Linked DNA regions of Neodiprion lecontei. The protein of the gene in region 1 interacts with the protein of each later gene in a pairwise test. Links are inferred from orthologs where the notes say so. Each region holds a gene or a part of one and is shown on either strand. Other genes may lie near its edges.

Evidence for each region. The genes of interacting proteins can lie anywhere in the genome.
Region 2: the proteins of putative E3 ubiquitin-protein ligase UNKL (region 1) and headcase protein interact in binary tests that used the Drosophila melanogaster proteins (3 or more experiments, as listed by UniProt). The link is inferred for Neodiprion lecontei from reciprocal best matches to the Drosophila melanogaster genes unk and heca.

What each region holds. Positions count from the first base shown.
Region 1 is NC_060264.1:35,194,366-35,200,372, forward strand, and holds the start of putative E3 ubiquitin-protein ligase UNKL, read left to right. Parts: upstream 1-2,249; 5' UTR 2,250-2,796; coding exon 2,797-2,879; intron 2,880-2,965; coding exon 2,966-3,196; intron 3,197-4,512; coding exon 4,513-4,935; intron 4,936-5,040; coding exon 5,041-5,264; intron 5,265-5,877; coding exon of another isoform or gene 5,878-5,886; coding exon 5,887-6,007. Other genes in the region: protein BCL9 homolog, read right to left, coding at 292-533, 608-905. UniProt on the Drosophila melanogaster protein: Essential for late larval/early pupal development.
Region 2 is NC_060263.1:4,791,641-4,797,798, reverse strand, and holds the start of headcase protein, read left to right. Parts: upstream 1-2,540; 5' UTR 2,541-3,657; coding exon 3,658-4,436; intron 4,437-6,158. UniProt on the Drosophila melanogaster protein: Required for imaginal cell differentiation, may be involved in hormonal responsiveness during metamorphosis. Involved in an inhibitory signaling mechanism to determine the number of cells that will form unicellular sprouts in the trachea.

The sequences.
Region 1 (6,007 bases):
TTCAATAATCTGCAGAAATATACCAATTGCTATCTTCGCTCAGTGGTTTACAAAATAAATCAATACGCTATGGTGGTCTCAACTATGCTTCAATATTGATATCTGTCATTATCAAGTTTAATTTGATAGAAAATTATTGAATCATTGGAAGAATAAAAAAGTTAACAAGTTACGATAAAAGGGAGCAATTTCTGCAATTAATGACTTAAAGGTATATTATATTTCAAAATTTAAATAAAATACCCTGACTTTTCCTGACTTTCCAGATTTGTGACGATCCTGCCTACGTACCTCCAGATACTTCTTGGTGCCTGGCTGTGCGCAATGATAAGCAATTATCGATGGGAATTGTCCCTGCAAAACCGCTTCTGCGCCTTTATTTGCCAGCATAGTAGAAAATACAAATATCTGGCTCTGCTGTTGCATGTACTGAGCATCCCCTCCGCCTGTGCCAGTGCCCATTTGCTTGGCAAGCACATTGCTCACTAGGGGTTGAATTCCGTCAGACGAGAGTCCAACGCTTGCTGCGCAGTCTGGGTAAAATAATAAATAGTAATCGTTAATCTATGCCCAAGGTGAAAAATTAACCAAGATACCGAGTGCGCACCATTTTGCAGATCATCGCCAGGATGGTTCTGTTCATTTTCCTGTTTTACAGAGCCAAGTATGGATTGATTATTAGTACTATTTTGATTTTCTTGAGACATAGTGCCATCCGTGTGATTGGGATCGATGTTTGAATCCCTTTGGCATTCCGTCGATTCCTCCCTGATGGTGTTCTCATTATTGCCAGTTCCTGCTACCCCGGACTCCTCCTTTATTTTAACCGAATCTGTATCAGGTTCCTCCTTGACGACGGTGGTCGTAACGCACGTTGCTTCGCTCGATTTTTTCTCCGTTTTCATTTTCGTATTATCGGAGACGAGCGACGACGACGTCAAACGGCTGTTGATACTTTTTCACCACTGAGCAGCATGGCCAGTCTAGTTTTTCAATCCATCCATGATTAAGGATACAATTCCACCGATACAACATCCAATGATTAACTCAAGATATTCTTTAGATCTCTTGTCCGTCAAGAAAGATTGGAAAAAAAAAATACCCAAAAAAACACAGGAGCGAAAAGATGAAAAGAAATAAAAATAAGAATATCCAATATCCACACTCGAGCACACACACGCGCGAGAAAAGCACAAAACTGAAAAACTCGTGATATGCGAAGTGAGAATAAATTTTTAAAAAAAGTATGTAGGAACTACGTATTACGTGCACTGATCAAGGCAGCAGCGTGTCCCCGACCAGAAGCATGTTTTGGCTTCACCTTCGGCCAGCAGAGTGTTATTGTTCGGCTGGGACGCGGGGGAGGAATCACCTGATGCGAGAATGGAGGTTGAAATTGCTTTACTTCACGCAGGATACGTCGCACTTGTTCGCACGGACAGTTGTTTATTATCCGATTTTATAGGCACTGGGAGAACTGGGTTGATGGTAAAACGCTCCGCTCGACGGCGGATTGAGTTCAGAGTCGCGAGAGTCGAGAGGCCGAAATGTCAGCCCATAAAGCCTCGGATTACCGAGGTCTGCATGCCTTCGGCCGTGGAAAATTTTTTATCCGTTATACAGACGCCGGTATTACTGTTATTGAGGCTTGTCCACCGATCGACGACGTTACACTTGATTTTCACCGCCTAGAACCTCAGCATTGTGTTTCTTCAGCTTTTATTTGTCACTTCATGGTCGCTTTGCTTATTTATTTCTTTTCAAACACGCTTGCCAACCCCTAGCCAATTGTTAATTCATCAAGGGTATACACGGTATACAATATCAGATTTTGTTACTAGATTTTTCGTTCAGATCTGCCACTATTAAGTGCAGTATTGCCATGTATATTATGTACGGTGCATTCAACCATTTGCTGGGAGTTCTGACGATGATCGGTGGTTCTGTGTTTCACCCGCTCTACTTGGATTGTTGGTGATCTCTATTTCACTTCTAGAGAATTAGGTCCATGAATTTTCAGCGCTACCGCAGTTCATTTTGTAACTCAGCCATGGGAAAAGGAACGAATATAGTTCACGGACAGTGCCCGAAATTTTGAAACACGACCGAACGTTGTATAGTTAGTCCATATGATAAAGTAACACAAGCGCGAGGTGCTGCCATCTAACGTTTTATCTCGCTCGTAAATGCGTGGCGAAAAGTGTGCAACATTATAAAATCATTACTCGGGCTGGTATGTGTGAAAGATAAAAATTGGATACAAAAATAACAATAAAATAAAAATTATCGACCGATCTATTCGTAGACAAAGCGATGAAAGGATAAAAGTGACGAAAGAATCTCCGGCTGAAATCCATACCGTGAGATATCAGCGGCGACCCAGTAGAAACAATATCGGACAACTAGTGCGTGTTGAACCAGTGACGCCGCAACACAAAGAAATTACGCATATGAACAAGCGCAATAGCGACAGACGCGACAGCATCGAACTGCAGTGCGAGTCAGGATAGTTGCTAGAACTACGCAAGATTCTACAAGCAACGTTGAGGAGGAGACATTTTCATCGCGTTTATAGGCGATAGAATTCGATCACCGAGTAACGGTAATAAAAGCATCCTATCGTTTGACAATAAAAGAAGTGTGTTAGGCGGGGGGTAAAGCGCATCGGCATGAGTGCGTGTTTACGTTCGGTACCAAAACACCAATGACCTTGAAACTCGTGATTATTCGGGGGTCACGTGACGCACGGGACGGCCAGGGATTGGCGGACCGCGACGCGTACCCTGCGCCCCTGGGATGCTCGATAGATCGTTTCGCAAGATGAAGTCCGAATCAAAACCTTTGTTGACAGCTCAAACAGAAAAGGCGAATCATTACACGTAAGTAGTGCCTGGCGGGGCCCCCGAGTGTGACGACAGACAGTGGTGCAGTGCTCACGGTCCAGTGTACAACGAATAATGTGTAGTTCTGTGGATTCGCATTCCAGATATTTGAAGGAATTCCGCGTGGAACAATGCCCCCTCTTTATACAACGCAAATGCACCCAGCACAGGCCCTTCACCTGCTTCAACTGGCACTTTATGAACCAGCGGCGACGAAGGCCCGTAAAAAAACGTGATCGGACCTTCAATTACAGCGCCGACAATTACTGCACCAAGTACGATGAGACAACCGGCCTTTGTCCCGACGGAGACGAGTGAGTACTTCCTTATCTCCCCTCCCCATCCCCATCCCCCTTTACCCTCCGTCCAACACCCACCCGCTTTTTTTTCTTATCGTCGCCCATATTTAACCACCCTTGGAAGCTCGAACATTATTTTCTTACATCATTCGGACCGCGCTACCCGCCAATTTCTCACGCCGTCGCGGCTCTCCACACGATTTTCGCATTATTTTCACACACGCCAGGAGCTGATTTTGCACAAAGGAACTCTGTCGGTATTGATTTTCTCCTACTTATCCTAACAACAAAGAACCAACACTGCCTTGTACTCTTTCATATTATTGTCATTTATCCTACACAGTTGTTTGTTCACCAATAATAAATCCATACTGTATACCAGGGATGGCCAACCGATCGATCGATCCTGGCTACCAGGCCAGTCGATCGCGACAAAGCAAAGAAAAATACATAACTGTCAAACAAATATTTCTTGTAATTCTGCGGTAAAGATTTGAGATTGGTAGATCGCACAGAGTCTGGACAGTAAACGATAGATCTCGGGTCCGATCAAGTTGGTTATCCCTGCTGTATACCGACGATCGTTCTACAATTTGACCACTTCACTAGTCATTGTTGTTTACTGGTTAATTTGCAGAACCAAAGTGACCTGCTTACCTGCGTTACCAATTTCATATTATCTTTGTTATGTCCGCGTTACAAATAATGCATTCTAAACTTCTATTTCCTTCAATGATTACACCGTCAGCAAATGAGAGCTGATGACCCAATGGATAAATGGTCAAAAAGCATCAGGTTCATTCTGTACAGAGTTGTTGTCTAGGCTCTAATCATTATTGTGGCTTGCCGTTTGCCTCAAGTTTAACAGACTGTCTAAAAACTTGCTTAAATTTCTTGTAGTTGGCCAAACTATAGGTGATATTGGTTAAAAAGAATTTAATCCCCTTAGAATGAATAATATTGAGTGTTTTACATCTCGTACTGTTAAAAAATAGATCAGTTATTTTTAGCGAATATGAAGGATTATCAAAACGTTCTGTAAAATATACACAGCATTCCTTTAATCGTATTTAAGGATGCAGGTTCTACGTCATCGTCAATGTCACAAATTATCCAGAATATGGCATCATAGAATTTTGACTCGGGACTATGTAATTTCACAAAACTATATTTTAGTTCGAATCGTCATTCGGGGGATAAATTTTAAATTTGATACGTTCATTGGTTCTTAATTTCTGTTAATTAGAATCAGCCAATCGATGCCTTTTTCAATAGTAGGGAACGCAAAGGCAAAGTAGAATGATTGGGTTTTAAATTTCTGCCTGGTCCAGATGTCCGTTCCTGCACCGTACTGCGGGGGATACGGAGAGACGGTATCACCTCCGCTACTACAAAACCTGCATGTGCGTTCACGACACCGATTCAAGGGGTTTCTGCGTAAAAAATGGTCCACACTGCGCGTTTGCACATGGAAATCATGATCTGCGACCGCCGGTATATGACATCAAGGAGATTCAGGCCCTTGAGAACCCAGATTCAGATCCAAACTCGTCGACGAATGGGCCAAACATACTGGATAAAGAAAGGAATCTCATGAACGAAGACCCCAAATGGCAGGACACCAATTATGTACTAGGAAATTACAAGACTGAGCCGTGCAAACGACCGCCTCGGCTCTGCAGGCAAGGCTATGCCTGCCCGCAGTATCATAACAGCAAAGACAAAAGGCGCAGCCCTAGGAAGTACAAGTACAGGTGAATTTTTATAATTATTCTGTGCATTCATATACGATTAGGTATCACCCTTGGTATCACCCTTGGTATCAAAATGATGTTTTTCAATATCAAATTCCTTCAAAGATCCACACCGTGTCCAAATGTTAAACATGGGGAAGAATGGGGTGAGCCTGGTAACTGCGAGCAAGGCGATGCCTGCACTTATTGCCACACGCGAACAGAGCAGCAGTTTCATCCGGAAATATACAAGTCTACAAAGTGCAACGACGTGCAGCAGGCTGGTTATTGTCCTCGCGGCGTATTTTGCGCCTTCGCACACGTTGACCGTGAGTGTAACCTCATCAATCGTACGTAACAATGTCTTTTCATAAAGATTGTAAGCTTAGGATGTGTGATAAATGTACTTTACTAGCTTGACGTGACACATTATTTTATTTGTGTAAATTTTTATTCTTGACTGTTCTCTCGCAAAACACAATTTCCTTCCTTCAAAGCATGCATTTAAACAAATTAATTTCCAGTCCAGCTGTAGAAGATCATGCTAATAAATGTGTTTATCGTAATTCAATTTTGATTATATTTTTTTTTTAAATTTATTCATTTGAATTTTGGCCATTTCTCGGGTTTACAATTTCACAAATTTTATAGTATTTTCGTAAAACAGTAAACAGTCGAGTTTCAGATTTGGAATGAATAATGGTAATAATTGAATTTGGGCTGCATGAATATTGACTTGCGTGATTTGGGGAAACTGGTCAAGTTGCGATCGTAAATCATGTTAGTTCTTTCTTTTGTAAAGACTTCTCCACTATGAAATCTAGTCAATAGTTTGTCAGTAAATTGTAAATTGCCATTATATTCTATGCTTGAGTCGTTTGGGTTTCATCTTGTGTTAAACCATAAACTTAACTGTGAGAATCGCTCAAGATTGATATATTGAAAAATTGGTACGGTATGCTGATGGAGCAGTCTTGCCAACAGAAGAAATGAGCCTCGCGAGGGATATGGCCGTGCCTCTTGACGGCACCAACATCGCCGACCTAATAAGCAGCGTTCTGACACCCGACAAAAAGCTTCACGACAAGGATAA
Region 2 (6,158 bases), on another chromosome or scaffold:
ATAACATATATCTTAATAAACGTTTCATTTTTATGTATTCCCTGAATAAGGTTTAATTATTCCGACGAGGATAATAAAAGGTGTGGTGTATCGGTACGGTAAAATAACGATTTTTCACGGTAGAAACTTAAAGCATCCGGTTGAAATTTTTCGAAACGGCTTATGAGTATTTTTATTCCTCAATCTTTTAGCCTCGATTTCCCATTTGATTTTTTATTTCGACACATTTCGTTCGATAGTTATGATTGTTCTTCGAACTATTTTTTTTCATAGGATTCTAGTGGAAAGTTTGAAGATGGTATAAGAGTTTTTTTAGATTTTTCACAACAGATAAATTTGGTAAAAAACGTACCGGACAAAATGACGCAGGTTTCCGAAATAAGGGTGGCGAAAAAAGCATTTCAGGCTTAAGGGTTGATATCTAGAAGTTAGGTTTTTGCAAAAATCGTTGTTTCGAAAATTCAGCGTCGTCTGAAATTCGGTGAAATTTTATTACGAAAGCCCGATCGCGATTTCTTATTTTTCGATGCCGCTTCTTCAATTTTGCGTATAAGCAAAATGTATCCGCGTGTTTTTCCACAAAAATGCATACGTAGCATCTTATAACAGCGAAAGTAGAAGAAATTCAACGAATTCGGTGAGGTCTAATTATGGCATCTCCTTAATGTATGCATATGTACACTTATACATCCGTAAATATCAAAGTTCACGAATCTAAACTAAAAAGGGACTTAATAGCCCGATTCTATACGCAATTCCGAACAAAAACACTTCAACGGATTTTCATTTGACTCTGAAATAAAGAAATAACACGAATTCTACGAAATCGCAATACTAAATTCGTAGAATTTATGCCATTTCTTTATTTCTGGGTCAAATGAAAATCCGTTGAAGCGGTATTGTTCAGAATAGTGTGTCGAACGGGGCTGTCAGCCCTTTTTCGCGTCTGAAATACGTGGACTTCGATATTTCGCGATACGTAGGTCAAATGGTCGAAATCAAGCGGGGCACCCCGTCGAGACAACGATCTTGAAACACGAATCGAGCGATAATTCAAGGAATTCAAGAATGCAAGCTCGAGCTCCGGAAGTTCGCGAATAAAATAAAATCAGCAAGGTGCCTCAGATTTCCACCGACAAAATATACTACACCGTACAACAACGTAGGTAAATAAAAGTGTATCTTACCTCCGTCGTATCTCCGTGCGGGTCCCAGCTGTCGTGTAAATAGAACATGGGGTCAAGGTCAAGCGGTAGTAGCGTGGTACTAAGGCAGGACAGCAGAGGCGTAGAGGCACGTGCAGCGTGTGTATCTAGACGCAATAAGTACATCAGAATCTTCAAAAATGATGCAGAAAGGAGCATTCTTATCTATAAGATATAATAATTACACTGTGCTTAGTTGGATCGGATACATCCGCGTAGATAGACGCGAGCGTTGAAATTAGGATGGCCACTAAAACCTCCGTCCCGAAATTCCCGGAATTTTACAGATTTTCCAGACGAAAATATTACCGTTTTTCCCGACCAATTTGAATAAACAATTTTGCAAGTATTTGATCTAATTTATCTAAGGAACAAAAAAATTTTGCGATGTATTTTTACGAACGAAAATATACAGTAAACTATTCCCTAACTTTTCGCCCCCCCCCCCCCCCCCTCGCCACCCCCCGGATATTTCCTTGATTAACCCAGAATTTCAGAATTCCCTGACCTGAGTCGATTTCGACGTTGACGCACGTATCTCCGAACGTCCAAGTCGACGTTTGTCAAACGCGCAAAACGGCTCAACAGGCAACGCTGGACAAAAGTACTTCGGCAGATTTTCGTTTGACGCAAGAATAAAGAAACAACGGCATGATGTCTACGAATTGACTAATGCAATTTATTACGATTCAAGCCAATTCTTTGTTTCCGCGTCAAGGAAAATGGCGTTTGGAGCGTTCCTCTTTTGTTGTTTAACGGAAGGTGCCTGTTGAGCAGTTTTGTCGCCTTCGAGACACGCGTATATAGATATTCGAATTGTACGTACGTCCTGCATCACATCGAAATCAATCAAGGGGGGGGGGGATCCTCTTAAAGGAGTTACAAACTTGGCTAGCGAATCGTTTGGAATGAGAATTTAATTGCCCCGCAGCACCTGTACACGTACACAAGGCGACCGTACGCGCCGACTGGTACATACCATCAACCTCTCCACGGGTGTTGGACGGAGATCTTTCTCGATGGTATACCAGGGAGAAGGGCGCCGAGGGAAGGGAAGGGAAGGCAAGGGAAGGGAAGGGAAGGGAAGGGAGGGCGCACACACGCAAACACGCACACTCGACGACGAGTGCATGCGGCAGCGGGAAAGCTCGGCTAGCCGGCCGGCGTTGCGTTACGTTGGGTTGCGTTGCGACGGCGGGACGCGCGGCGCCAACGGCGGTCATCGATTGGCCCGCTAGCCGTGACCCCCACCACACGCTTTCGCTTTCATCCAATCGGGTCTCACTTTCGCGCTCGGCCGGTGTGCCGGGCACGCAGCGAGGAAGCTTGGCACGCCGGCTGGCTCAGTAGTGACTGCCTGACTGGTGCAGTAACAATCCTGCTTGGAACTGATCGAGACTAAATTGCGACGCCGCCTCTCGCTGTGTTTCGCGTGTTAATAATAACAAATCCCACCCTGCCCCGAGCTGGGCTCTGCGTCCGATACTGACTAACGATAATAAGTAAGAAGCGTTGGGCGCTCTGTTGTTATACCTACGTATCGCGAAAAGAAAGCGAGACGGTGAAACGGAGAGAGACGGAGAGTGCGAGGGCGTTTTGCAGCTGCGGTCACACGGCCGATTATTTGAAACGCGATTACTTTACTTTCGTTATTTTTCACATGTAAAACGAAAACCTAACCGGTGTATACGGCTTCCCATTATTATTCTCAACTACTCTTAACAGCTTTATACCGTTCATCGATAATGCAACAACGATCTTGTCGCACGAAACCTCGAGATATTTCTACGATGTGACACGGAACTTTGACGATCGACGGCGTGTCTATCCGTATCCGTATATCCGACGGAGTGAAACTGTTCTCGGTTTTCGTGTTTGTTTGTGTTTGTTTGGTTGTTTTTTATTTTTTTGTTTTTTTGTGTGTTACTCACTGTGTTTGTGTTGCTTGAACGTATCGGCGAAAATTGACGAGATACAAAGAAACGGAGACGAATCGCCGATACAGAAGGCGGACGTAAGCGTTGTTATTATGACAACTTCGGAGTGCCGCTGCAGCTGCGACGAGGTCGCGGTCGGTTTTCCGTAGCCAAGGGGTGAATAGAGATTGAAAAGAAGAGCATCGCTGGCTCCGTTAACTTCTATCCAACGCGTATTGTTCGCTTGTTTGTCGGCTCTCGGAAATATTTCGCGGCGCGAGAAAAGTGTGTGAGAACGTACATTGCAAAATTATTGCGCGATAAAAGTAAGAGAATAATAACAAAAAATCATACCACGTGTCCGAATCTTCGTCGTTTCCCCTGTTCTCGATTTCGGATGAAAACACGCCGCTGTCTGTGGACCGAGGAACGGCCGTTCCGGAACGTCGAATAAACAATCGAAAATCGTAGCTCCGCCACCTAACGAGTCAACGCGGTTAGGCCTTTTGTTACCCTTAAAGTGCGGGAAATTAGTAATGGCGCCTAGACGACACGCCAACGGTCACGGAGGGTTGCTCGAGGGCGGTGGAAACGAGCTTGCGGACATGGTGGCCAACGGAAACGGTGGTCATCAGCAGCACAACAACAACAACAACAACAACAACAACGGAACAGCCGTAACAACGACACGATGCTGCGCACCGAGCGGCGAGTGTCTGAGAGGCGATTCACCGATCCGAATGGGCCTGCTTCAGGAGGCGGTGAAGGTCACCTGCAACAACGAGAGCTGTCCGGTGGGTCAGTTTATGCATAGAGAGTGCTTCGAGGCGTGGGAACAGACGGTACTGACCTACCTTAAGGGCTGCGGACGCGCGAGGAGCTGGTCCGAAAGACAGCGGCATCAAAACCTCTGGACCAAGAAGGGTTACGACCTGGCGTTCAAGGCCTGCGGCTGCCGATGCGGCAGGGGTCATCTAAAAAAGGACCTCGACTGGATGCCACCCGGATTGGCATCAGCCGTCGGGCAGCGGCCCGAGGATGCCGAGGCGAAGAAGAAGAAGCGTCGCAACAGGCAGAACACAAGGCCCTCGCTCGCCATATCGGCCGGACACCCGGGGCCTCACGGTGGGCCCGTTACGAGGTCCTCCGAGGTACAGATGATCGAGTCGAGTCGCGGAAGGGCCGGATCGCTGTCCTCGAGTACCGGGTCCAGTTCACCCCCAGCTACAAGCGAACCCTCCGTCAGTCCTCTTCATCAGCCGCAGTCCGGTTCCAAGAAGAAGAACAAGGTCGACTTCTTCAGCGATCGCGCTAGGTGAGCAGAGAAAATTTTATTTCTCTATTTTATTTTTGCTCGTTTCTTACGAGGCTTGCGTTGGTAACACGTTTGATCGTTAAACAAGAGATTTACGGAACTAGGATTGTCGATGTACGAATGTCTTTTGTTTTATTACGGTTCGTCGTGTTACGGACAATTCTAAAATCGCGAAACGACGGAATTTCGTTAATCGTTGCGATAACGTTAACAACTTCATTACGATCGGTTCTTCTTTCGAGTGGCGGCGATTGACGAGGCTGAAGTTGGCAACGCTGACTCGACCGAGACGCGAGAGAAAAGTTTGTTATTCCGCAATTTTTAGAATACGACATCCGTGTGAAGTTCGGTTTTCAAGTTATGAGTGTGTTTTGTTTATTATGCCTATGACGATTGATCGTTATTACGGTAATAAGAGGCCGAGGTTGGCGGTAAGTAGAAAAGTAAGGATATATAATCATGCGGATGAAGTTGGTCAGGTTACGGTAACGGTGCGTGTTTAAGAAAAATCGCGTTATTTTGTACATTTAGGATTATCTGAAATTTAGTGAACTATGACAAAGCAAACGTGCTCAAAAATATTTTTAATACATGACTCCTTGAAAGTTATTGAGAAATTGCACGGTAAGATTTTTTTTTCTCCCTTGACATTTCGTTACGTTAACCTTGCTAACTTCAGTCTCGTGACAAATCGCCGTTTCGAAATTTTACACTCACTCTCGAAGTTGTCAAGTTTTCGAAATAATATATTTACAATTCTTACCATGATTTACTGGACTTTGGATATTTTTAAAATTGCGAGTTAACGATTTTTTTTCTTCGAAACTCTAATCGTTACAATAACGTTAATAACCTCAGCTTTGTCTGAATATTTAATTATCATTATTCTCTCACTGATTGTTATGTGTTTTTGTACCGTCTGTTTTTATCGTTTCGTTTTACTACAGGAATTTTATCAGGTCTCAACTTTCTAACGTAGTTTGCAGCGATGCGTTTAAAAAAAAAAAAAACTCATCAGGCACCGTTAAAACAGGATTAACAAAGTTAAATATTGTAAACTCAACATCTTCGGTTATTTCGAAGCTGCAAATTGGTAATGTTAGTTTACATCAACGACGCTAACCTGAGCCTCGTGGAATTTCAACGGATTTTCAAATTCCGGAATACGGGTATGTAACCGAATTTTCCAAAATATTATCCGCATTATCCATAATGATGCAAAAAATTAAATAATAATGTCGAAATGTCTTTGAAAAACTTTGAGATGCCAATTCAGAAAATTAATCATCTTTCCTTACTACTTTTTGGTCGTTTTTTCAATATTCGCTTCCCGCTGTAAACCTCGAATACCTACACAATTAACAAATTGATCAACGTAAACAAGATTTATCGTCGTTGCGAAATATTTCAGCCTCCTTATCGTAGTATTAGATAGATGATGCAGTAATTGCGAAAAATTTGGTAATATCCGATGATGAATCATCACTCGATGACTGAGAACGTGAAGAAATGATTTATAGCCGTTGGGTCTGTTACATCCATGAAGTAATAGTAGATCTTGTAAAAGAAACTCTGAAAACACGTGATGCTGCTGCTCTCCTCACCCGTCGACCCCATGCTTCGAAAAGAGGCGAGAGAGAGAGAAAGTAAATCTTGACCCTGAAAAACACCGCGGAGAAATGTTTTACGATTCGTGTAGAAAACGCGTATTTAGAATAGGGG